3 linked regions of the Notamacropus eugenii genome follow. The protein of the gene in region 1 purifies or fractionates together with the protein of each later gene. This does not show direct contact. Links are inferred from orthologs where the notes say so. Each region holds a gene or a part of one and is shown in the gene's direction. Other genes may lie near its edges.

Region 1 (7,206 bases):
GCTTTATTAATTTAGTGGGAAACTTTTTAAAAACTCATTTTACTTTATGCCTCTAGCCCACTTGAAGAAGTGTGTTCCATATATTTATTATTCCACAGCACGGCCTAGTGAATAGAGAGCATTTGGAAAACCTGGGCTTAAATCTTGGCTCTGACGTAGCTTTACTAGATACATAATATAGGCAAATTACTTAATCTCTTTGACCCTGTAACTTCATCTGTACAACGGGAATAAAACCCACAGCACTTAGCTTACAGAGTTGTTATTGTAAGGATCAAGTGTATATACACGTATGTGTAGTGCTTATTATCTGTGCTAACTCATCCCCCTTTTTCTTTATCTACATTTCTTTGGCAATCATCTTCATTTTACCTGCAGTGGTAGTGGTGTGGGGAGGAGGGCAGGGGGAGGCAACTCTCTTTTTGCTTCCTTTTGGTCTTCTTTCATCCCCAATCTGGGCCTTTCTGACACTTTCCCCTAGGACTGGAACGTAATGCCACAAAATCTCCAATCCTTTCTTTGCTCCGGAAATCAGAACCTGATAAAGGGATGCTTCAACTCTCCCTCTCCTTACTCAGAAAGGAAACATTTCTTTTGTACAGTCTTTGATTTAAATAAACTATTAAAAAAAAGTGATGCTAACTGGAAGTGGCCCCTAAACAGAAAGTTATGTGACTGGCTCAACCACCAGAAAGAAATGAATGACAGAGATCTTTCTTGTGACCGGCTGCCCCCTCCATTAATAATAACAATAACTAACACTTATGTAGCACTTTAAAATCTGCCTTGGGTCACGCCTACCGCTGACCACCTTTACTCTCACACACATGCTGCTGAGTGAAGATGGGAAAAAACAGACAACTATTCTGTATCTGCTACAAATTTGTTATATAACCTCATTTGGGCCCTCACTGCTGCTAGGCAATCCTACTATATCCCCTTATCAACTCACTATCTCACTCTCCACAGCAGGTTTTCCAAATTATTTTTAGATCTCCTCAAAGCTCAAAGAGTCCTCCCTCCCCCCACTGTCTCAGATGAGAACTTTGCCTCACATTTTATAGAAAGAATAGAGGCCATTTACCATGAGCTCCCCTTTCCTCATATCATCACTCAGATGCCTTCCGCCATCATCTCCTCCTTCACTCCTGTCTCACATGATGAAGTGGTCTTACCTCTACAAAAAGGCTAACCCCTCTATTTGTCTGAGCAATCTTATTCCTTCCCTTTTCCTCCAACAGACTACCCCGTTCCGTCATCCTCACTGTCTCACTTCTTTTCAATCTTTCCCTGTGTATTGGTTCATTCCCTACTGACTACAAACATGGCCATATTCTCCCTCATCTGAAAAGCCCTGTTGACCCTTTCATCCCTGCTATCGTCATAAATATATATTATTTATATATAAAAAACCTGTTGGCCTTTTCATCCCTGTTATCATCATAAATAAATGTGTTATTTATGTATACATTTTTGCTTCTTGAAAAGGCCACCTACAATCAGTGCCTCCACTCTCTCCTCTCATTTTCTACTTATTCCCTTACAATCTGGCTTTTAATCTTGTCATGCCACTGAAACGATTCTTTTCAAAGTTACTAATGATCTAGCCAGTTATCAAATCTTAGCAGCCTTTTCTCAACCTCCATTCTCTTTGTCTCTGCAGGCTCTGACACCTGTTGATCACTTTCTCTTCTCTCTAGGTTTTTGGAATGCCATTCTCTCCTGGTTCTCCTCCTACTTTTCTGACAGTCCATTCTCTGGACTCTCCTCCAGATCATTTCTTCTAACTCTTAAATGTCCCTCAAGGTTCCACCCAAGGCCCTCTTCTCTTCTCTTCTATACTGCTTCACTTGGTGACCTCATCAGCTCCCTTGAATTTAATTAGATCTCTAAGCTGGTGATTCTCAAATATACTTATTCTGCCACAACTTCTCTGCTGATCTCCCATCTCCAACAACCTTTCAGATATCTCAACCATATTTAATGTCAAGCCAACAAAGCAAATTCAATATATCCAAAACCACTATCTTTCACCTCCAAAACCCTCCCCTGCCTCCTACATGCCCTATTACTGTAGGGGACAAGACCACCCCTCCAGTCCCTCAGGCTCACAACCTAGAATCACCCTGGGCACCTCACATCTCTCAACCTGTATAACCAAGTTGTTGCCAAGATCTGTTGATTCCACCTTATAACATGTCTCAAACATGTCCCCTTCTCTCTTCTTTCACATGCTGACGCAGACCCCCAGCACCTCACATTTGGATAACTGCAATAGCTTGCAGGTCTATCTGGCTGCCTCAAGTCTTTCCCCACTACAATCTTTCCTCCATTCAGTCACTAGTGATTTTCCTAAAGCACAGGTCAGATCATATCACCCCCCTACTCAATAAATTCCACTGACTTTCTAAAGCCTTCAGGAACAAATATAAAATGCTCTGGTTGGCATTCAAAGACTCTCATAATCTACCCCTCTCCTAGCTCTCCAGACTTCTTACACCTTACTTCCCACCATATACTCTTCCATCTAGTAACACTGGCTTCCTGACTGTTCCACAAACAAGACATTCCATCTCTTGGCTCTGGGCATGCTCTCTGGCATTCCCATGCCTGGAATGTTCTCCCTCCCCATCTTCACCTGCTTAAGTCCCAACTAAAACCCCACTTTCTACAGGAAGCTTCCTGGAACCCCTCTTAATTCTAGAAAATGAGAGGAGAGAGTGGAGGCACTGATTGTAGGTGGCCTTTTCAAGAAGCAAAAATGTATACATAAATAACATATTTATTTATGATGATAACAGGGATGAAAAGGCCAACAGGTTTTTTATATATAAATAATATATATTTATGACGATAGCAGGGATGAAAGGGTCAACAGGGCTTTTCAGATGAGGGAGAATATGGCCATGTTTGTAGTCAGTAGGGAATGAACCAGTACACAGGGAAAGATTGAAATTCTATTTTCCCTGTATATAGTTTCTTTGTTACCTCTCCCATTAGACTGTGAGCTCCTCTAGAACAGAGATTGTCTTTTGCCTCTCTTTGTATCCCCAACCTTAGCACAGTGCCTGGTACATAGCAGATGCTTCATAAATGTTTATTGATTGGTATTTATTTTCCTTTGATTTGATCCTCACAACAACCCTGAGAGGTAGGTGCTATTATGTTCCCCCATCATATATTATTATATATTACTATGTTTCCCCACCATATTATGTTCAGATGAGGCAACTGAGACTTGAAAGAAGTTAAGTGACTTGTCCAGGATCACACAGCTAACAAATGTCGGAGTGAGGATTTAAATTTGTGTCTTCTTGAGTACAAGTTTAACTGTTCTAGCCACTGTCCCAGCTATTTTACTTATTCTTAAATAAAAAGTATTATTGGAAAAAAAATCAAATTTAAAAAGTTAAATTGTCATGAAAAGGTATTATTGGCAAAAAAAAAATTTTTTTAAGTTTAATTGTCCTAAAAAGGTATTACTGGTCAAAAAAATTAAATTTAAAAAGTTTGGCTGTCATAAAAAAGATACTATTGGTAAAAAAAAAAAATCAAAGTAAAATAAATGGTTCAGTTGAGTCATAAAAGTATGGTATTACTGACAAAAAAGCCAAACCAAACCAAAATCAGTAGCAGAGCCACACATTTCTGGGACATCCACAAGTCCTACTAGAAGCTGGCCCGGAAGAAAAGGGTCTACCAGTCGGTCAGGGCGAGGGGGAGGGAGCAGAGCAAAGGAGGGCGGCCGCTTCACGCCTGCGCCCTAGCCCCACCTTCCTCCCTCCCTCGCTTCCCGGGCTCACCGCCGCCCAGAGTGGGGCGGCTGCGCACTGGATACGGGCCGGGGCCGGGCGGGCAAGCAGTCCCAGAGCCGGGCGGGTGGGCCAGCAGAGCAGATCATAGCAGAGCGGACCTGGCCTGGGCTGAGCCAAGCCAAGCTCAGCCTGTCGTTCTGGGCTCCGGGAGGAGGCCACGATCCCAGTTTAACAGGACTTGCCTTGGTCTCCGCCGCTCCCTCTGCCCGGGGACGCTGCCGGACACGCCGGACGCTTTGCCGGTCGCCGCCGCTATGGCCGCCATATTGAATCGGAAGTGAGGCGGGAGGGGGCCGAGGCGGCTGCCGGCGCCGGCGCCGGAGGTTGGAGTTGCTCTTCCCGGCCGCCCCCGCCCCAGGGGAGCCCGGCCCGGCCCGGCGCGCGGCGAGGAGCGCAGCGGCTCCCCCGGCGGAGCGCGGCCCGGGTGGTCCCGGCGCCGAGGCTGAGCGGCGGGGAGGGGTTCCGGGCCTCGGGCCCCGGCCGCGAGGAAGATGGCGGACCCGGCCGAATGCAACATCAAGGTGATGTGCCGCTTCAGGCCGCTCAACGAGGCCGAGATGGCCCGGGGCGACAAGTATGTGGCCAAGTTCCAGGGCGAGGACACCGTCATCGTGGCGGTGAGTATCCTCCCTGTCCGGCCCCTCCTGGCGCGGGCTGGGGGGGGAGAGGGAGGCCGGGGTGCGGGGCGAGGGGCTCCACAGCCTCTCTGTCCCCAGTCTTCGCCACCCACGCCCTTTCCGGCTGGGACCCCGGAGTCCTGCGCCCCCGGGTCTAGGGGATTCGAGTTCCTCGCCCGATGCCCCTACTTGTTGGTCCCCGTAGGAAACTATGCCTGTCACTTTTCTTCGGGTCCTGCGGAGGGGGGAGGGGCTGGAAATGAACCTTCCAACTAGCTCTGGGGTCGGTCCCCTCCCGCACCGCCATCCGGACCCCTACACTTTTTGCTTCGTTTAGCGAAGGTAACGTGGTTAGCCATTTGTTCAGATGGCCAAAAAGAACGGGACGGACGGTTTTGTCGGTGTCGGCTGCCAGAATTTTTTAGACGAGAAATAGCTAAGTGATCTGAAACGGAGAGGTCCCTCCCCCCACCCCACCCCGAGTCTTTTTCCTCTTCGTCGAAAGTAAACTTAACCGAGTTTTAAATTTTCGTTTCACAAAGGTAATAATACTGTGGTGTTGTAGTTTGACCTGAAGGAAACTCTTCGCTAGAAGAAATTGACCAGTTAGCTCGACTTGGTTTTCATTTGATTAACTACATACTTGAAATACAATGTAGCCAAGCTGTCCCATGCAGCGAAGGCCTGCCACAAAGGAAGTTACAAAGTTACTTGGTGAAGGGAAGTAAGTTGAGCCCTATCTGCACAAAGATGCTCGTAGTGACTAAGCTTTCTCCCGAATCAGGCTAAGACATCCAAGTTGGTCTACAATAATAGTGCTGTGGACTAAATATTTAGGAATACTTTCAGCGTGCTTTCCACTATATGTGATGACCCTAACGTGGATAGTCAGATAGTGCCTACATTGAACTGGTAAAGACTTAATTCTTGTTTTCCTGATGGTCCCAGGGCGTTGTGTTATGCTAGTTAATTACTTTGTATTTTAACTTATTTTAATTTTAGCTACTGGCATTCCATATTTAATAACTCATTTGGGGCAGTTTAATTTAGAAGAAAAGTCAGAGTCATTTATAGAATTTGGAATAGTTGAGAAGTTTTGAAATCTTAAAATACATAGTAAAATGTTTTGTTTTATTTCCTTCTCTCCCCCCCTCCCCATATGATCTTCCCATATTCAACCTCAGAAAATCAATGACAGCTCTAAAATGGTAGCTTTTCAGTGTGGTTCTGGTCTTTGGCAAACAAAAGTTGACTAAATGCCAACAGATAATATGTTGAAGGACTTGATGTCAGTCCCATTCTTAGTTGATAGATCCTCAGATCAGAAGCTTTTGCTGCAAATTCAAAGAAATGAATAAGTATTGAGGCTGGACCAGGAGAAGTTACCTTCCAGAAAAGGACATTTATAGGATATATTACATGACAAATTATAACCTTTTTCCTTGTAAGGTTATTCTTCATATGTTATCTTTCAGAATTGTATTTGTTAATGTAAGTATTGATCCTAGAATTTGGTGTTCATAAGTGTAATAAATTTAAGTTGGAAATTTTCTTTACGTTAGCATATCAGACACACCTTGTGAAGAAAAAGAAGAAACTATTGAGTAATTGTCCCTACTAAGCATAGATGCCTTAGTATGTCATTTTTCAAGATTTCTTTGATATTAACAAATGGAAATAGGTTAGGCCAAAAAAGGTAGACAGGTGGGCGAATATGAATCAGTCATGAACAGTTGGAAAGATCTGGCATTTAGATAAACTAGGAAATAATTTAATTTTGTTTAAAAAAAATAGTACAAGGGATTGAAGAAATGCAAACGTAGCTTTGAGATTTGATTGCAAGAGCTTAAGAACTAAAGTGTTTATTATCAATATATTATATTAGTTCATGATTTAGAATGGCTTATTTTCCCTGGATATTCCTAGGGTTTTATTTTACTCAAGACCCAAGTCTTATATTTTTAGTGAATTCTAGTAAGAGGATTACTTTTTTAAAGTAGATAGTTAAATATTTTTGTTTCTTTACTTCAGTTTTCTCTAAAAGTAACCATTAGTTTGCCATAATCATTTTCCTGAATCATACTGAATTATTCTTAAACATGTTTCCATTCAACTCAACTAAATAAATATTTATTAGTGAAAGGTACAGGGGTGGGGGAATACAAAGACAAAAAATGAAAGAACTCTTGTCCTTCTAAAGAGTTACATTCTTCTAGGAAGATTGGAATATTAGAGCAGTCTGAGTGCTACTATGGAAATTAATTTAAGAATCCTACTTTTCTTCAGCATTCATTTTCTATTACTCCATACTTAAATGCCGTCCCATGCCTTTCATAGATAAATGATTAATCTGCACACAAATCAATCTCATTTATAGTCAATTAGTCCCTCTGTAGCCCTTGCCTGTTTCCTGATTCATCATTCCAACAGATGCCAAACATGGAAGATAAGTTTGCTCAATAAATTTGATTAAAAAAAAAAATTCCAGGTAGTAGATAAAGTTTAATACCTGCATTGCCCTCTGAGTTTTAGGAAGATAAATGATTGTAGTTCACAGAATTAATATTATTTTGATTTTTGCCTTTGTGTTTGGAAAATAAAACTTGATCCCACACAGAAACAACTTGTTTAGTCATAGAGAGTTAAACTTGCTTAACTATCAATAAGAAAGACAATTCCTACCTGTTTGGACAACATTAAGATGGAGGAGCATGCTAGTTTGCATCACTTTAAGTGCCTTTGCTGTATAGGAGAAACTAGGCATGTAGACATAG
Region 2 (7,197 bases), on another chromosome or scaffold:
GACTAAAAAATGATTGGAAATTCCTAATGAAGATGACTCCCAATGACTACATTCAGATTTTATCTTCCCCCTGGACATCACTCTCACATGACCAACCTTCTTCTGGACATCCCTACCTATATATCAAATTCAGAATATCCCCCCCCCCCAATGAATTAATTCCACCTCAAAATCACTCCTCAAAACCCTTATTTCTATGGGGAAAGCACCACCAACTTTCCTGTCACCCAGGTTCAAAATCTCAGTGAGACCAGCAAGATGACCAGAGAGTTGCAATCTACAAACTTTTCCAACCTGAGAACCTCAGAAGAAAGAAACTCTGCCCAAGAAATGAGTAAATACAGCTTAGTATTTAAGAAGATTTAGTTCTGCATCAGGAGCTTTAATTTCTGTCCTAAAGATAAGAAGACAGAACCTCCATAAGTAAGGTAAAAATGTCATTAACAGAAAATGTTAACAGAGAGTTTTCATTTCCTATCCTTGTGTGTTCATCCTTCGTTGCTGAAGAAGACCATGCCACCAGAGAAATAATGACATGACTTGCACTTGACTTTGTTTTGAGTGAAGGAGGGCTGTGCAGGTCAGCAGCCTCACTTTCCTCCAGAGCTATCTGAATCCAGCCACCAAATATTCATCAGGATGAGTCATCCTGTCCTTAATCACATCTAACTCCAGGCACCTATCAAAGTAGGTACAACCAAGGACTTGTGATTCAGGAACCTCACAGAGCAGTAATCTTACCCAAATCCCACTGGCCCCACAAGAAGTAGCAGACACTAATTCTACCCAGCCACTTAAAGGAGAAGGCTTGATGGAACATAAAACACTATGAAGGTAGAAATCAAACCATGAGGATCAGTGTCACAGACTGGAGGGGAATATTGATTTAAGAGAAACAGAAACCCACTCAGGACCAGTCTTCTCCTAGATTTCTCTCAAGGCCCTGCTGACTCCCACATCTCCCAACTCAAGGTGCTACTGGGGCTACCTTGGGAGGTCTATCTGTGCAAGGGTGAGAAGTAAAGTGATTTAGATTCCTGAAGGTAGGTGGAAAAGAGGACAATTGAAATACCCAAGAGTAACTGAGAAAGACTGAAAAAAATTCCAGCCCCCAAACAGATAAACTACAAGAGAACATAATATTTATAGAAGGAAGGAGTAAACCTCAAAAAAGAAACCAAAACTCTTGGAACAAATATTATAATATGATGATAAATGGACGAGTGTTACCTAATGAAAGAGAGGCTCTTCCAGAAATCATGAGATGATAGCAAGAAACTCCAGAATGGTTCAGAAGAAAAATACAACTTTTAAAAGCGGAAATTATGAATGAAATTAGGACAGAATTCAAAGCTCCCAATGCAGAATTAAAAAACACAAATAGAGTAAGAAAAATTGAATACATGATAAAGAACAAGAATTTGGAATGCAAATAAATACATTAAGTGGACAGAAATTCCACAGAAAAGAAGCAAAAGGCAATAATGTTACAAGAACACATGAACCCTATACAAGCCCAAGTGGCTGACTTTGAAGATAAGCTGCATAGGGATTGTTTAAGGATGAAAATTCTCCCAGAAGAACATGAAAAATCAAACATTCTTGAATACCCTCATGCAGGAAATAATTTAAGAAAAACATCAAAACCTTGGAGTCATCTTTGACGCCTTCCTTTTCCCTCATCCCCCTATATTTAATCAATATTCTAAGCTCCTTGAGGGCAAGGACTATCTTTTGCCTTTTTTTGTATCACCAGTATTTAACACAGTGCCTGGCACATAGTAGGAACTTAATAAATGTCAATTGATTAATTGATCTATTGATTAATTAGTTTCTCTTGACATCTTTTTCTCTCTTAAAACATCTCTCACATTTATCCCTTTCTCTTCAGGCCCATGACCACTACTCAGGCTTGAGTTCTAATCTCCTTTCATGGATTCCAACAAAATAGCTTTCTTGGCTTCCTTGCTTGTAGTCTCTCTTCTTTGCAATTATGCTCCACATAGATGCCAAACTGATCTACTACAACAGAATCCCAACAATAACACTTCCCTTCTCAAGATTTTCTATCCCTTCTAATATAAAATATAATTATAAAATATAATATAAAATACAATTTCCTCAGGCCTTTAAAGTCCTTTGCAGTCTGCTTCCACCTACCTTTTCAGACATTTCATTTTACTTCCCTTCACAAGTTTAGATTTCTAGTCAAATTCTAGCCATTCCATTTCCCGCCTCCATATCTTTGCATAGGTCATTCTGATTGCCTGAAATGTACTCCCTCCTCACCATATAGTTCAGTTGCCATCCTCTGCTCAAAACCTTTCCTGATATTCCTATTTGTTGGTATTTTCTCCCCTTTTCAGCTGATCATGTATTTAGTTATCTGTTTCCAGGGAGATAGGCTAGAATAGTCTAGTGAATATAGTACTGAACTTGGAGTCAGGAAGATCTGAGTTCATATCCTGCCTCTGACATTTACCAACTACGTCACTATGAAAAAGTCACACTCTCTTAACTCAGCTTCTATGACCATAAAAAGAAAAACAAAAACAAAAACAGTAGGAGAGGGTCAGTATTAATTCTTCTTTTATTTGCTTACCTTGCAGAGTTGCTACGAGACTCAAATGAGATAATGTATATAAGAAACTATGTAAATATTGTTATTAACCTTCTTATTTTTATTTTTTGCTGTTATTGCATCCTCCAGTAGAATGTGAGCTCTTTGAAGGCAAGAATTACTTTTTATTATTATCTTTATAGCCCCAACAGCCGACATTCCTGGCATTTTTCACAGAGCAGGTGCTTAAAAATTATCATTTGATGAATTCAGTTAGGAATCTATAACTCTAAAGTTCTAAGGAGTAGGGATATTGTGAAGGAAAATTCTATAGGGATTAAAAAATAAAAGTCAACACTTGGGCTTTAAAAAAATCAACTTTTCAAGCACAAGATGGGAGAAGTGTGTCTAGATATCAGTTCTGAAAAAGAAGTGGGGGGGAGTGTCTTAGTGGTTTGTAAGACCTCTAAACAATGTGGACTAGCAGCAAGAAAAGTTAATGCAGTCTTAGGTTCCTTTCAGATAAGCATAGTATACCCTGGACTTTCCATTCATGAGCTATTGAGGAAGCTTCATTTCTTGGAGAGCCAACCCCAGGCAGGAAGACCTGGTTTCAAGTCTTGCCTTTGATATATATGGACTGTGACCCTGTGCAAGTCTAGTGTCCTAGATGACTCTCCAGAATTAGAAATTGTGGAGCTGCTGCTAATTCATATTTACTAGCAGAGAAGCAATTACAGGACTAGGAGGTCCCTTCACCAATGAAATTTTCAAAAGTAAATTTTTAATAATTGTATAGAATTAGGGAGGTGACTGTAGTCAGGCCCTGATCATATCCACACCTGGAATATTGTGTTCGGTTCTGGGTACACATTTTAGGAAGGGTGTTGATTAGATGGAGAGTATCCAGAAGAGAGGGACAGTTGAGTGGTACAATGCGTAGAGTTCCAGGCTTGGAATCAGGAAGACTCATCTTCCTGAGTTCAAATCCAGCCTCAGACACTTACTAGCTGTGTGACCTTGGGCAAGTCACTTCACCCTGTTTGCCTTAGTTTCCTCACCTGTCAAAGGAGTTGAAGAAAGAAACTGCAGTATCTCTTTCAAGAAAACCGAAGATGAAGTCACGGAGAATCGAACACGATTGAACAACATCAAGAGGAGGGCAACGAGAACGGTCGAGGATCTTGAGTTCATGTCATATAAGGAGGGGTCGGAGGAACTGGGGAAGAGGAGACTCAGGGAGTTACCTGGTAGCTTTCCCCAAGAATCTAAAGGATTGTCCTATGGCCAAGAGATTAGCCCATGGGGGCGGAACAGGGGGCAGGGGGCGGTGGGAGTTCACAGAATCACAAAGGTTAAGAGATGGAAGAGATTTCGGCGAGCAGCCAGTTCAGCTTCCATCCAGTAGGAACCCTTGAATGATATCCTCGAGCAGCAGTCCTCCAATTTCGGCTTGGAGATCCCCTCGAAGTAGGGGCTGCCCACTCCCCTAGGGGACGGCTCTCCCTGGTGGGAAGCTTGGGACATCGAGCCTAGTCTGCCTGCCTTTTGGCTGCTCATGGGGCAGCTGTATCCAGACGTCAGCAAAGCCTTTTTTAAACTTTATTGTTCAACAATGAGATCTGTCCACATGGGGAGTGAGCTGTCTCCCGGCCTGCCGCATTCGGACTGCCCCAAGCGGACGACCCAGACCCAAGCGCCGGCCGCAGCTCCGCGACTCGGAAGAAAGTGCTTTAGAAGCGTCTCTGACGTCACGGCTCCCCCATTCAGGGCTCCCCACCCCCAACTGCGCCCACAGAGCACCACGGGTAGAACCTCACCTGCAGGGAGCAGGGCGGCCCCTCCCCTCCCTAATCCTGGCTTCGGCCCCGCCTCCCCCGGAGCCTCCTCGGAGCCCTCCAGCAGGCTCCCAGGAGAAGGCTGGGGAGGCGGCAGCTGCGGAGCGAGCCCTAGCGACAGCGACAGCGACAGGGACAGCGACAGTGAGAGCGACAGCACGGACTGGAGCTGGAGCGGGAGCGGGAGCTCCGGGGAGAACGGAGTGCAGACAGGTAGCGAAGCGGCCCAGCGGATGGGGGCCCAGGGCACTCCCGGCTCCGGCTCCCCACACCCCTAGCCTCCCTCCAAGGTCCCTTCCACCCTCCTGCCTCCTCCAGTAGTCCCTCCAGGGCCCCCTCCATCCCCTTGCATCCCCAATACTCTCTCCAGGGCCCCCTCCACCTCCCTGCCTCCCTCTGTCCCCCTCCCTCCAGGGCTCCCTCCACCCTCTTTGCCTCCTTCCATTCCCTTCCCTCCATAACCCCTCTTTCCTTCCCTCTGTACCTCCTCCCTTTTTCTATCTTTCTGTCCCTTCCCTCTATTGCCCCTTCCCCCTCTTTTCCTTCCTCTGTTCCCCTCCCTACATTACCCTTCCCTTTTCTTCCCTTTATCCCCCTCTTTCTCTTCCTCCATCCTCCTCCCTCCATCACCCCCACCGTAACCATACACCATCCATCCCACTCTCCGTTCATCTCCTTCCTCCTCAATCCTGCTACTTTCACCACAAGGGTGTCCCTGGCTCCCCTAGTCCCGCCCCCTCCCCCCCAGGATTCCAAACTCAGATCCCCCCACATGCATACACTTGCCGTCCCTCCCCCTCCGCACAGGTAAACAGGAGCCAGGGCGGGGTGGGGCGGGGCCAGTGCTTGCCGGTGTGGTAGGACTGGGGCCTCCGAGTGAGTTGACCTAGCGACTGGTGGGTGTTGGGGGGATGCGAACTGGGGACCATGAACCTCTCTGTGTGTGGAGCTGTGATTGTGGGTCGGCTCAGAGGAGGGATGGTCTAGGTGACAAACAACAACGTGGGTCTGACCGGGGAGTCCACAGAACTTGGTGCCCATCCTGACCGGGCAGCACTGACCTGGTTGCCTGTCCAATCCCTTCTCTAGGTTTCTCTTATCTAATGAAAAAAAAAAAAAGCCAGGGGTAGGACTGGGGGAGGATGTTGATGCATGACTGAAAGTCTATCGCAGTCCCGAAACCCTAAATTCTGCAAAGTGGTGTGTGGGAGTCAGGGTTCTAGGAGCAGAGCCATACATAGCCAGATGAGGGTGGAAGAGTGTATACCAAGCTATGTGGAATCCAGAAGGCAGTGCAGGCAGGCCGGGTCCATGTTGGAAAGGTGTGTGTAAGGTATGGAGGCAGTGTGTAACCCTGTGAGATTTTCTTCTGGGGAAGAAAACTGTCTCCAAGGGCAAAACTCAGACATCATCTGTTTGTGGTCCCTTCCAGTTTGGAAGTTCACTTGGTTCTCCTAAGGTCTCTTGTTCTTACTCCACTTTTTAAGGTCCCTCCAAGTTCTGAATCTGTTTTTTCTAAGGGCCCTCCTTGGTCTGGCATTCTGTGCTTTAAGGTCTCTTTTAGCAATGGCATCCTATATTCTTTGGCCCTTTCCAAAGATGTCAGACTATGGCAATCTAGAGACCAGCCAAGTTCAACCCTCTAATTTTACAGATAAGGACACTGAGGACCATGAAGAAGGGCCTTGCACAGGGTTATTTGGTGAGTTAGTTAGGACTGGCCCTAGAACCCAGATCTACTCTATGATCTGGGATGCATATGAACTCAGCTACAGTAGGGGTCACCCTTGGTGAGGTGGCCGACCACCTGCGTACCCATCCAACACATAGGGGCCACGCCTGATATGGACATCTGTGTCTGTCTCTACATGCCCAAAGCCATCCTGCTTGGCCTGTCTAAGAAGCTGGATGGTGTCCACCCACATCCTGGCTGGGGAGTGACTGGGGAAGAGACATAAAGCCAGCTGTCCCCATGGCGGGGCATGCTTGTCCTCCTTTCCCTAGACCACAGGGATGACCTCTAAGTGATGAAGTAGGTTTCTTCAAGTTTCTCTCACACTCCCACCAGGCACCACTGATCTCTCTGCTCTGGTCTTCCCCACCCTTGCCGAGGCAGCTGTCAGACTGGTTCCCAGCACAAGAAGGCGGCAGGGATGAGGTCATGGGGAAGAAGCTTCACCAGACACACACCCCCACCCCACCCCAGCACACACACACCCAAGCAACCCTCTGCAACAATGCAGAACTGGTCAGGAGTCATTTCCATTCACCAAGCATCTATTAAGCACCCTAGGAGGGGAAAGAAAGGAAAAACAAGCATTTATACAGCACCTCTTGTATACAAGGAAACTGTGTTGAGCCCTGGCAATAGAAAGGTACAAAATGATCTGGGGGGCTAGTCCCGTGAACCCAGTGTGTTACTTTGGACATATCACTTCCCTCTCCCAGCCTCTCTCCTCTGTAGAAGTGGAGTTACAGTCTCCAATCTGTTCCAGCTCTGAAGTTTATCATGTTTTTATTCTTTGTTAACAAAAGCTGGCATTTATATATATTGCTTTAAACACTTTACATGCTCTGTCTCACTGAATCCTTGGAAGACAGGTACTCTAAGCATCCCCATTTCAGAGAGGGGAGATGGAAGTCGAGAATAATAAAGTGACCAATCCAGAGTCTTACAGCTAGCAAGTTGCCTGAGGAAGCATTTAAACCTAGGTTTTTCTGACTCCAAGCTCAGTGATTATACCAGGGAGTTTCTTTTGTTCTATATTCTCTCCCCACTGTGATATTCTCTGTTCAATG
Region 3 (6,847 bases), on another chromosome or scaffold:
GTATTTATTACCTATTCAGTTATGAAAATTCCTTTTTCATACTATGGTTAAACATATTTGGAGATCATAAATTTAAGTGACGTAGACATCCTGAGTCGGAATTGTTCTAAAATGTATTTAAGTCTTCTCATTCTTTTTATCAGACAGATTTTATCTGGCTCTGTGCATGCATGTATTCTGCTAGCTTTAAGGGAATAAAATAACGTGAATTTATAAATCCCCTAGCCTGTTTGCCTCTTTTAACAAAACTTTCAGGTTGACAACACAAATATATATGTATATATGTGTATGTAAAATTTATAGATATATAACATGTTATATATATGTAAAATTATATATTATATATGTAAAATTATATGTTATATTATACATATTATGTATATGTAAAATTACTACATACTTGTATTTATCAGTTCTTTCTCTGGATGCAGATAGCATCTCCCTTCACGTGTCCTCTGTAGCTAATTTGGGTACTCATAATGGTGGAATACAATGATAAAAATGAAACAGTCCCTGGCCTCAAGAAGTTTACATTCTCTCAAGGGAGACCTCCATATGTAAATATATATGAAATGCATCCAAAATACAAACAAAGTAGTTTTGGAGGAGGGGAGAGCCAGCAGCTAGGGGTGTCAAGAAAGGATTCAAGAGGAAAATGGCACTTGTGTTGAGTCTTGAAAGTAAGGGATTCTCAGAAGCAGAGGTGAGGAGAAAGGGCATTCCAGGCATGGGGACCAGCCAGTGTAAAAGCCTAGAAACAGGAGATGGAGGATAGCATCCAGTTTGGCTGCTGGTAGTATAGGAGGGAGAGCAATATCCAGGATGACATGGGCTAGGGTCAGACTGTGAAGGACTTAAAAAGAAAAACAGAGGTTTTTCTATTTTATCTTAGATCAACAGGAAACTACTCCTAGTGTAGAGCGTGGAGGAGTCACATGAGCAGATCTCTGCAGAAGGAATATCCCTTGGGCAGCTTTGTGGAAGACACATTTGGGTGGGGGGAGACTAGAGGCCATTGTCATAGTTGTGGAGAAGAGATATGGGCCTAAGCTAAAATGGGGGCTTGTGGATACCAAGAAACAGTCAGTAATGAGGGATTGCATGGTGAGAGAAACAAGATTTGGGTTCAAACCCAGGAGAATAGAACTGAGACAATGCCCTCAACAGAAATTTGTGTTGCTGTTCAATGATTCAGGTGAGTCCCTTCTTGACCCTATGGCCCATAGCATGGCACAAATTGGAAAGTGACAAATCAGGGTAAGTTTGAAGGAAAAGATGAGTTCTCTTTTGGATATTCTGAATTTGAGTTACAAGGACATCCACTTGGAAATGCCCAAAAGGCAGTTGGTGATGCAGCATTGAGACTCAGGGCACTGTGACTTGGACATATAGATTTGGGCATCGCCTGTATAAAGACAATAATTAAACCGTGGGAGCTGATGAGGACCAAGAAGAGGACTAAGGGATAGAGGAGCAGCTACGAGTCAGGAATACTAGCTGTGTGACCCTGGGTAAATCATTTCATCCTGCATGCCTCAGTTTACTCATCTGTAAAATAAGCTGGAGAAGGAAATGGCAAACCACTGCAGCATCTTTGCCAAAAACCAAATCTATAGAGGGTCACAGAGAGTTGGACACAACTAAATCACAAATCCCTCTATTTCCTCCCAACTTCCAACGTCCTGCTCTAACGCCTCATCTTGGAGTGCTTCTATAAGTCTATGGCATTCTGTTGTGTTCCAAAGGCTTCAAGACCAATCCCAGTATTTACCACTTTTTTGGCTTTCTGAGGATCGGCCCAAGCGCAAGGCAGGGAGGGGGTCATCACCACCAGATTGCGTCCTTGATGAGTTCTTTGACTGTGACTAAAACCCGGGCAACCAGGAAAGGCACAAAAGAGCCTTGGGTCCTGTAAGCCAGCACTTGAAAAGTGATGGTGCAGGGAAGAGAAAGGGCGGCGGAAGGGGCTGGGGATCCCAGTTCTTGGGCAATCTGGAAGTCTTAGCTCAGTCATCAGTCCTTCAAATGTAAGCCATTTAAGGTGAGTCCCAGAAGATGGCTAGGTATGGATGGAGTGTGGCCTTCAAGACTTTTTGATTCGATTACCCAATGTATACAGTTAAAAACTGTAAAAATGTCAGGTATCACCATCTTGTTACATTCTGGTTTGTGCGCATGTAAGTCTTCTGCCCCCAGGATTACAAAGTATCTTATCCCCTGGGGAAAGGTTGCAGAATGACAGACAGAGAGCCTTTATTCCCTTTTTTCCGTGAAGGGACATGTACAAATATACCCCGGTGCCCGCTGTCTCTCCGAACAGCTCGGTGCTTCCATAGTGCGTGTGGATTGATTGGAGCTGAAACAACAGAACCTAGAACCGCAACTGGAGGAAAAGAAGTCTTCAAGACGCGGATGAGTGAAAGAGATGCAGCAGAACGGGGCAGAGGCCGGGCCGGGCCGGGCGGCGCCCGAATTCCACTAAGGGGGAGGCGGGGGACTGGGAACTTGGGCTTCCGAACCGACTCCGCGATGCCCGGTCCGTGTGAGTGCGGGATCTGGCACTGAGCCCCGCCAGGCGCAGGCAAGCTCCCGCCCAGGACGCCTAGAGCAGCCCTGATCCGCGGGGAGCCCGGCGGACTGAGCCGGTGGAGCGGGGCCCCGCCGTGACGCGGCAAAGCCGCGGGTCCCAGGAGGAAGGACCGAAGCAGCCCCGGGGACGTTGGCCGGTTTATGGCGGACCAAGGCGGGGAGAAGTGGTAGGGCAAGTGTGTCGTGACTCTGCCTCCGCCCCGGGATCGGCCGCGGCGCCCGCAGAGAGACCTGAGAAACGCCACGTCTGGAGGCAAGAGAACACCTGCAGGTGCAACCTCACCCCAGGAGAGTTCGGGCCTGCTGGTCAACCAGGGGGAGTAACGGTCGGGGAGCGCGTGCGTTCGGTTGTGGGACCAGACGACGAGAGGCTGAGCAAGGTGGGGATGGAGGGACGAGAGGAGGGAGGAAACGGAGGGGATGGAGGGGATGGAGGGGATGGAGGGGTGGGGGGATGGAGAGGATGGAGGGGTGGGGGGATGGAGGGGTGGGGGGTAGGGAGGAAACTGACGGGATGGAGGAGATGGAGGGAAGAGGGGTGGGGGGATGGGGGATGGGGGATGGAGGGGTGGAGAAGGAAGGAGGGCTGGGGAGTTTGGGAGTGTAAATGGGGAACACCTCGGAGCAACCCCGCTCTTGTTTCTCAGCAAATCCCATCCTTCCGCCTGGGGCCAGGGGTGCCCCTTCCCACCCCTCCCCTCCCCCCCCACCCTTCCCTTCCCCTCCCCCGCTCTCCTCTTCCCCTCCCCCGCTGGTCTTCCCCTTTAAGGCGGCGGGGGAGGGGGCAGCACCCTCCCCTTCCCTTTAAGGCCCGCGGCGGCGGCGATCGCGCAGGCGCGTGGGTGGGCGCGGGGGCTGCCGGGAGAGGCGGCGATGGAGGCTGCGCGGGCCGTGCGGGGCAGCTGAGGCCGAGGAGGCCGGGCCGGGGCCGGGCCAGAGCTGGGGTTGGGGCCGGGGTGCGCAGGTGAGCGGGGGCAGGGCGGGGCGTCGTTCCGGAGAGAGGACGGGGGACCGGGAGCTCCTCCCGCCTGTGCCTCGGGCGCCCCCTGCGGGGCGGGGGGCTCCCCGCTCTGGCCCGGGGCACCCCTCGGGGAACCGGCAGGGACCGGTCCGGGGCATCTCCGGGGGAGGCGGAGCTCCCCTCTATTACGGGGTGCCCCGGGGGAAGGTCTACACTAGGAATAACTCCACACCTGCTACAAGTTGTCTGCCGTCTAGAGGGAAGGGGTGGGAGTGGAGATCACTCACAAGAAGGGCCTTCATCCCTAGGGGATGGACCAGGCAGGTCGGTGTGGTCCCTAGGGCCCAACTGGACCGGGGATAGGCCCCCATACAGCCCCAACCATCGGGGGGCTCCTCCCCCCCATGCTCCCTCCTCAGGGTCCCGGGGTGGGGGCTAAGAGGCCGAGTCCCCACCGCATTGCGTCTGGGAGGGAGAGCGGCCGCTGGAGACGCCCCCTGGAGGCCGCTGCAGGAAGTCCGGCCGAGCCACAGGCAGGACCCCCCTCCCGGCTGGGAGCCCCCCAGGCTGTCAGAGCCCCAGAGTTCTCGTCCTCCCCCTGCAGGGGCCTCCTCCCAAACCCGAACCCTCCGACCATGTCCACCCTGGTGATGTCTCGGGAGGAGAAGCCGAGCCAGGATGAGATCGTGCTGGGCACCAAGGCGGTCATCCAGGGGCTGGAGACCCTGAGGGGCGAGCACCGCGCCCTGCTGGCCTCCCTGCTGGAGAATGTGGCCGGGCGGGAGGCCGGCGAAGCCGAGCCCGGAGCCCAGGAGCGCTCGGGACTCCTGCGCCGATCTCTGGAGGCCATCGAGCTGGGACTCGGAGAGGCTCAGGTACCCGGGGGCCTGGGTCTGGGGGAGGCGGGGCCAGGAGTCCAGTGCCCCTCCCCCGGGCCCCCCTTCAGCCTTCTCTCCTGGCCGAGGGGCCGTAGGTGATTCTGGCACTGTCGGGCCACCTTGGGGCCGTGGAGTCAGAGAAGCAGAAGCTCCGGGCTCAGGTGCGCCGCTTGGTGCAGGAGAACCAGTGGCTCCGGGAGGAGCTGGCCGGGACCCAGCAGAAGCTGCAGCGCAGCGAGCAGGCCGTGGTCCAGCTGGAGGAGGAGAAGCAGCACCTGCTGTTCATGAGCCAGATCCGGAAGCTGGACGACGACCCTTCTGCCAACGTGAGCCCGGACCCTCCTCCGGCTGAGTGGGCTCCCTTTTCCTGGCACCCCTCTCCCGCCCCACACATAACCTACTCAGGGGCTCCCGCCCACAGGGCCGACTCTGGATCCCCTCCCTTCAGACCCTCCTCCACTGCTTTTCTCCCTTGTGTGATTTTTTTCTTTCGGGTTGCTGATTCATCCCTCAGGAGGAGAAGGGGGATGCTTCCAAGGATTCTCTGGATGACCTGTTCCCTAATGAGGATGAACAGAACCCAGGTAGGGAGATGGGGAGAAGTGGATCTCTTAACTTTGGGCCCTGTGACTGGTCAGGAGGTCTCAGTCCATGAGGGTGACCACATATATGCTTCTCAGAAGCAAGGGGGAGGAGTGTGTGACTGCATTGCCTGAGGACCCAGAAGTATGCAGATAAGGGGGAACCTCCCAAGACTCCCAAGTATGTGCTGCTGACTCTGTCCCAACCCCAGAAGGCCCTGGGGCCACCTCTGAACTCCTGCCTTCCTCCAGCTCAGGGCTCTGGGGCCGGAGATGCAAGCACCCAGCACGGAGGCTATGAGATTCCAGCCCGGCTTCGGACCTTGCACAATCTGGTGATTCAGTATGCCTCCCAGGGGCGCTATGAGGTCGCTGTCCCCCTCTGTAAGCAGGCCCTGGAGGATCTGGAGAAGACCTCAGGGCATGACCACCCCGATGTGGCCACCATGCTGAACATCTTGGCTCTTGTATACCGGTAAGGGGACGTCTGGACCTTGGGGAAGGGGCAGCTAGGTGGTGAGGGGAATAGTGTACCGGACCTGGAGTCAGGAAAACTCCATGAGTTCAAATCTAGCCTCAGCCATGTGGCTCTGGGCAAGTCACTTCACCCTGTTTGCCTCAGTTTCCTCACCTGTAAAATGAGCCGGAGAAAGAAATGGCAAACCACTCCAGTGTCTCTGCCCAAAAAAAACTCAAGTAGGGGCATGAAGGGTCAGGCAAGACTGGAAAATGACTAAATGAGAGGCAGCCTTGGATTCTGTACAAAGTAGGCTCTCCATAGGATTGACCCTACCCCAGGTGAAGAAAGGAGGGGCCGGTGTAGGTGTATGAACCTAGAAAACCCACACTGGTGCCTGAAAGCCCCTCATTGGCTCATCACTCCTCTGAGGTCAGCCTTCCTCCCCTCGAAGCCCCTCACAGAAGCTGAAAATCTCCCTGTGGCCCAGCAGGCAGAGTCCTGGCTCAAACTGGCAGCAGCCTCATTTTATAGATGGGGAGCAGGAAGTTGACCAGCAGTCCTTCCCCTGCCCCTCCCCCACCTCCTTGTCTTCTCAGTGATCAAAATAAATACAAAGAAGCTGCCCACCTGCTCAATGACGCTCTAGCCATCAGAGAGAAGACCTTGGGCAAGGACCATCCAGCTGTGAGTGAGGCCCGGCTCCCTGGGCTGGGGGTGTGGGGCGAAGAGGACCCTTGGCTGGCCAGGCCTCTGCAGCCGTTTTCCTCTCTTTGCCCTGGACCCAGGTGGCAGCTACCTTGAACAACCTGGCGGTTCTGTATGGCAAAAGGGGCAAGTACAGAGAAGCAGAGCCCTTGTGCAAACGAGCCCTGGAGATTCGAGAGAAGGTAGAACCCATCTGGGGGCCCCTGTCTCCCTGGGCCTGGGGGAGGAGCTGGGGGGGGTGCGTCAGGGCACAAGTGAAAGGAGCCTCCACCTTCTCCTAGGTGCTGGGCAAGTTCCACCCGGATGTGGCCAAGCAGCTGAACAACCTGGCCCTCCTCTGTCAGAACCAGGGCAAGGCCGAGGAGGTGGAGTACTACTACCGGCGTGCTCTGGAGATCTATGAGGCTCGGCTGGGTCCTGATGACCCCAACGTGGCCAAGACCAAGAATAACTTGGTGCCTGATCCAAGGGAGGCACTGGGGAGGGACAGCCAGGGCGCACTGTGGGCCCAGCATGGTAGGGCGGCTGGGGCCTCACTGTCTCCCTGTCTCCCCCTTCCTCAGGCCTCTTGCTATCTGAAGCAGGGGAAATACCAAGATGCAGAAACCCTGTATAAAGAGATCCTGACTCGTGCCCATGAGAAGGAATTTGGCTCAGTCAATGGCAAGTGTCC

The links. Proteins that work in one complex are often made in the same cells at the same time.
Region 2: the proteins of KIF5B (region 1) and KLC3 purify together in Homo sapiens (affinity purification with mass spectrometry; 3 studies listed by BioGRID and IntAct, with this or other methods). This does not show direct contact. The link is inferred for Notamacropus eugenii from reciprocal best matches to the Homo sapiens genes KIF5B and KLC3.
Region 3: the proteins of KIF5B (region 1) and KLC2 fractionate together in Homo sapiens (co-fractionation; 7 studies listed by BioGRID and IntAct, with this or other methods). This does not show direct contact. The link is inferred for Notamacropus eugenii from reciprocal best matches to the Homo sapiens genes KIF5B and KLC2.

The regions. Positions count from the first base shown.
Region 1 is NC_092874.1:72,367,386-72,374,591, reverse strand, and holds the start of KIF5B (kinesin-1 heavy chain), read left to right. Parts: upstream 1-4,186; 5' UTR 4,187-4,306; coding exon 4,307-4,432; intron 4,433-7,206. UniProt on the Homo sapiens protein: Microtubule-dependent motor required for normal distribution of mitochondria and lysosomes. Can induce formation of neurite-like membrane protrusions in non-neuronal cells in a ZFYVE27-dependent manner.
Region 2 is NC_092876.1:27,702,679-27,709,875, forward strand, and holds the start of KLC3 (kinesin light chain 3), read left to right. Parts: upstream 1-4,175; coding exon 4,176-4,611; intron 4,612-7,197. UniProt on the Homo sapiens protein: Kinesin is a microtubule-associated force-producing protein that may play a role in organelle transport. Plays a role during spermiogenesis in the development of the sperm tail midpiece and in the normal function of spermatozoa.
Region 3 is NC_092873.1:18,870,525-18,877,371, forward strand, and holds the start of KLC2 (kinesin light chain 2), read left to right. Parts: upstream 1-3,825; 5' UTR 3,826-3,954; coding exon 3,955-4,425; intron 4,426-4,523; coding exon 4,524-4,754; intron 4,755-4,942; coding exon 4,943-5,012; intron 5,013-5,261; coding exon 5,262-5,484; intron 5,485-6,065; coding exon 6,066-6,153; intron 6,154-6,254; coding exon 6,255-6,356; intron 6,357-6,455; coding exon 6,456-6,629; intron 6,630-6,737; coding exon 6,738-6,837; intron 6,838-6,847. UniProt on the Homo sapiens protein: Kinesin is a microtubule-associated force-producing protein that plays a role in organelle transport. The light chain functions in coupling of cargo to the heavy chain or in the modulation of its ATPase activity.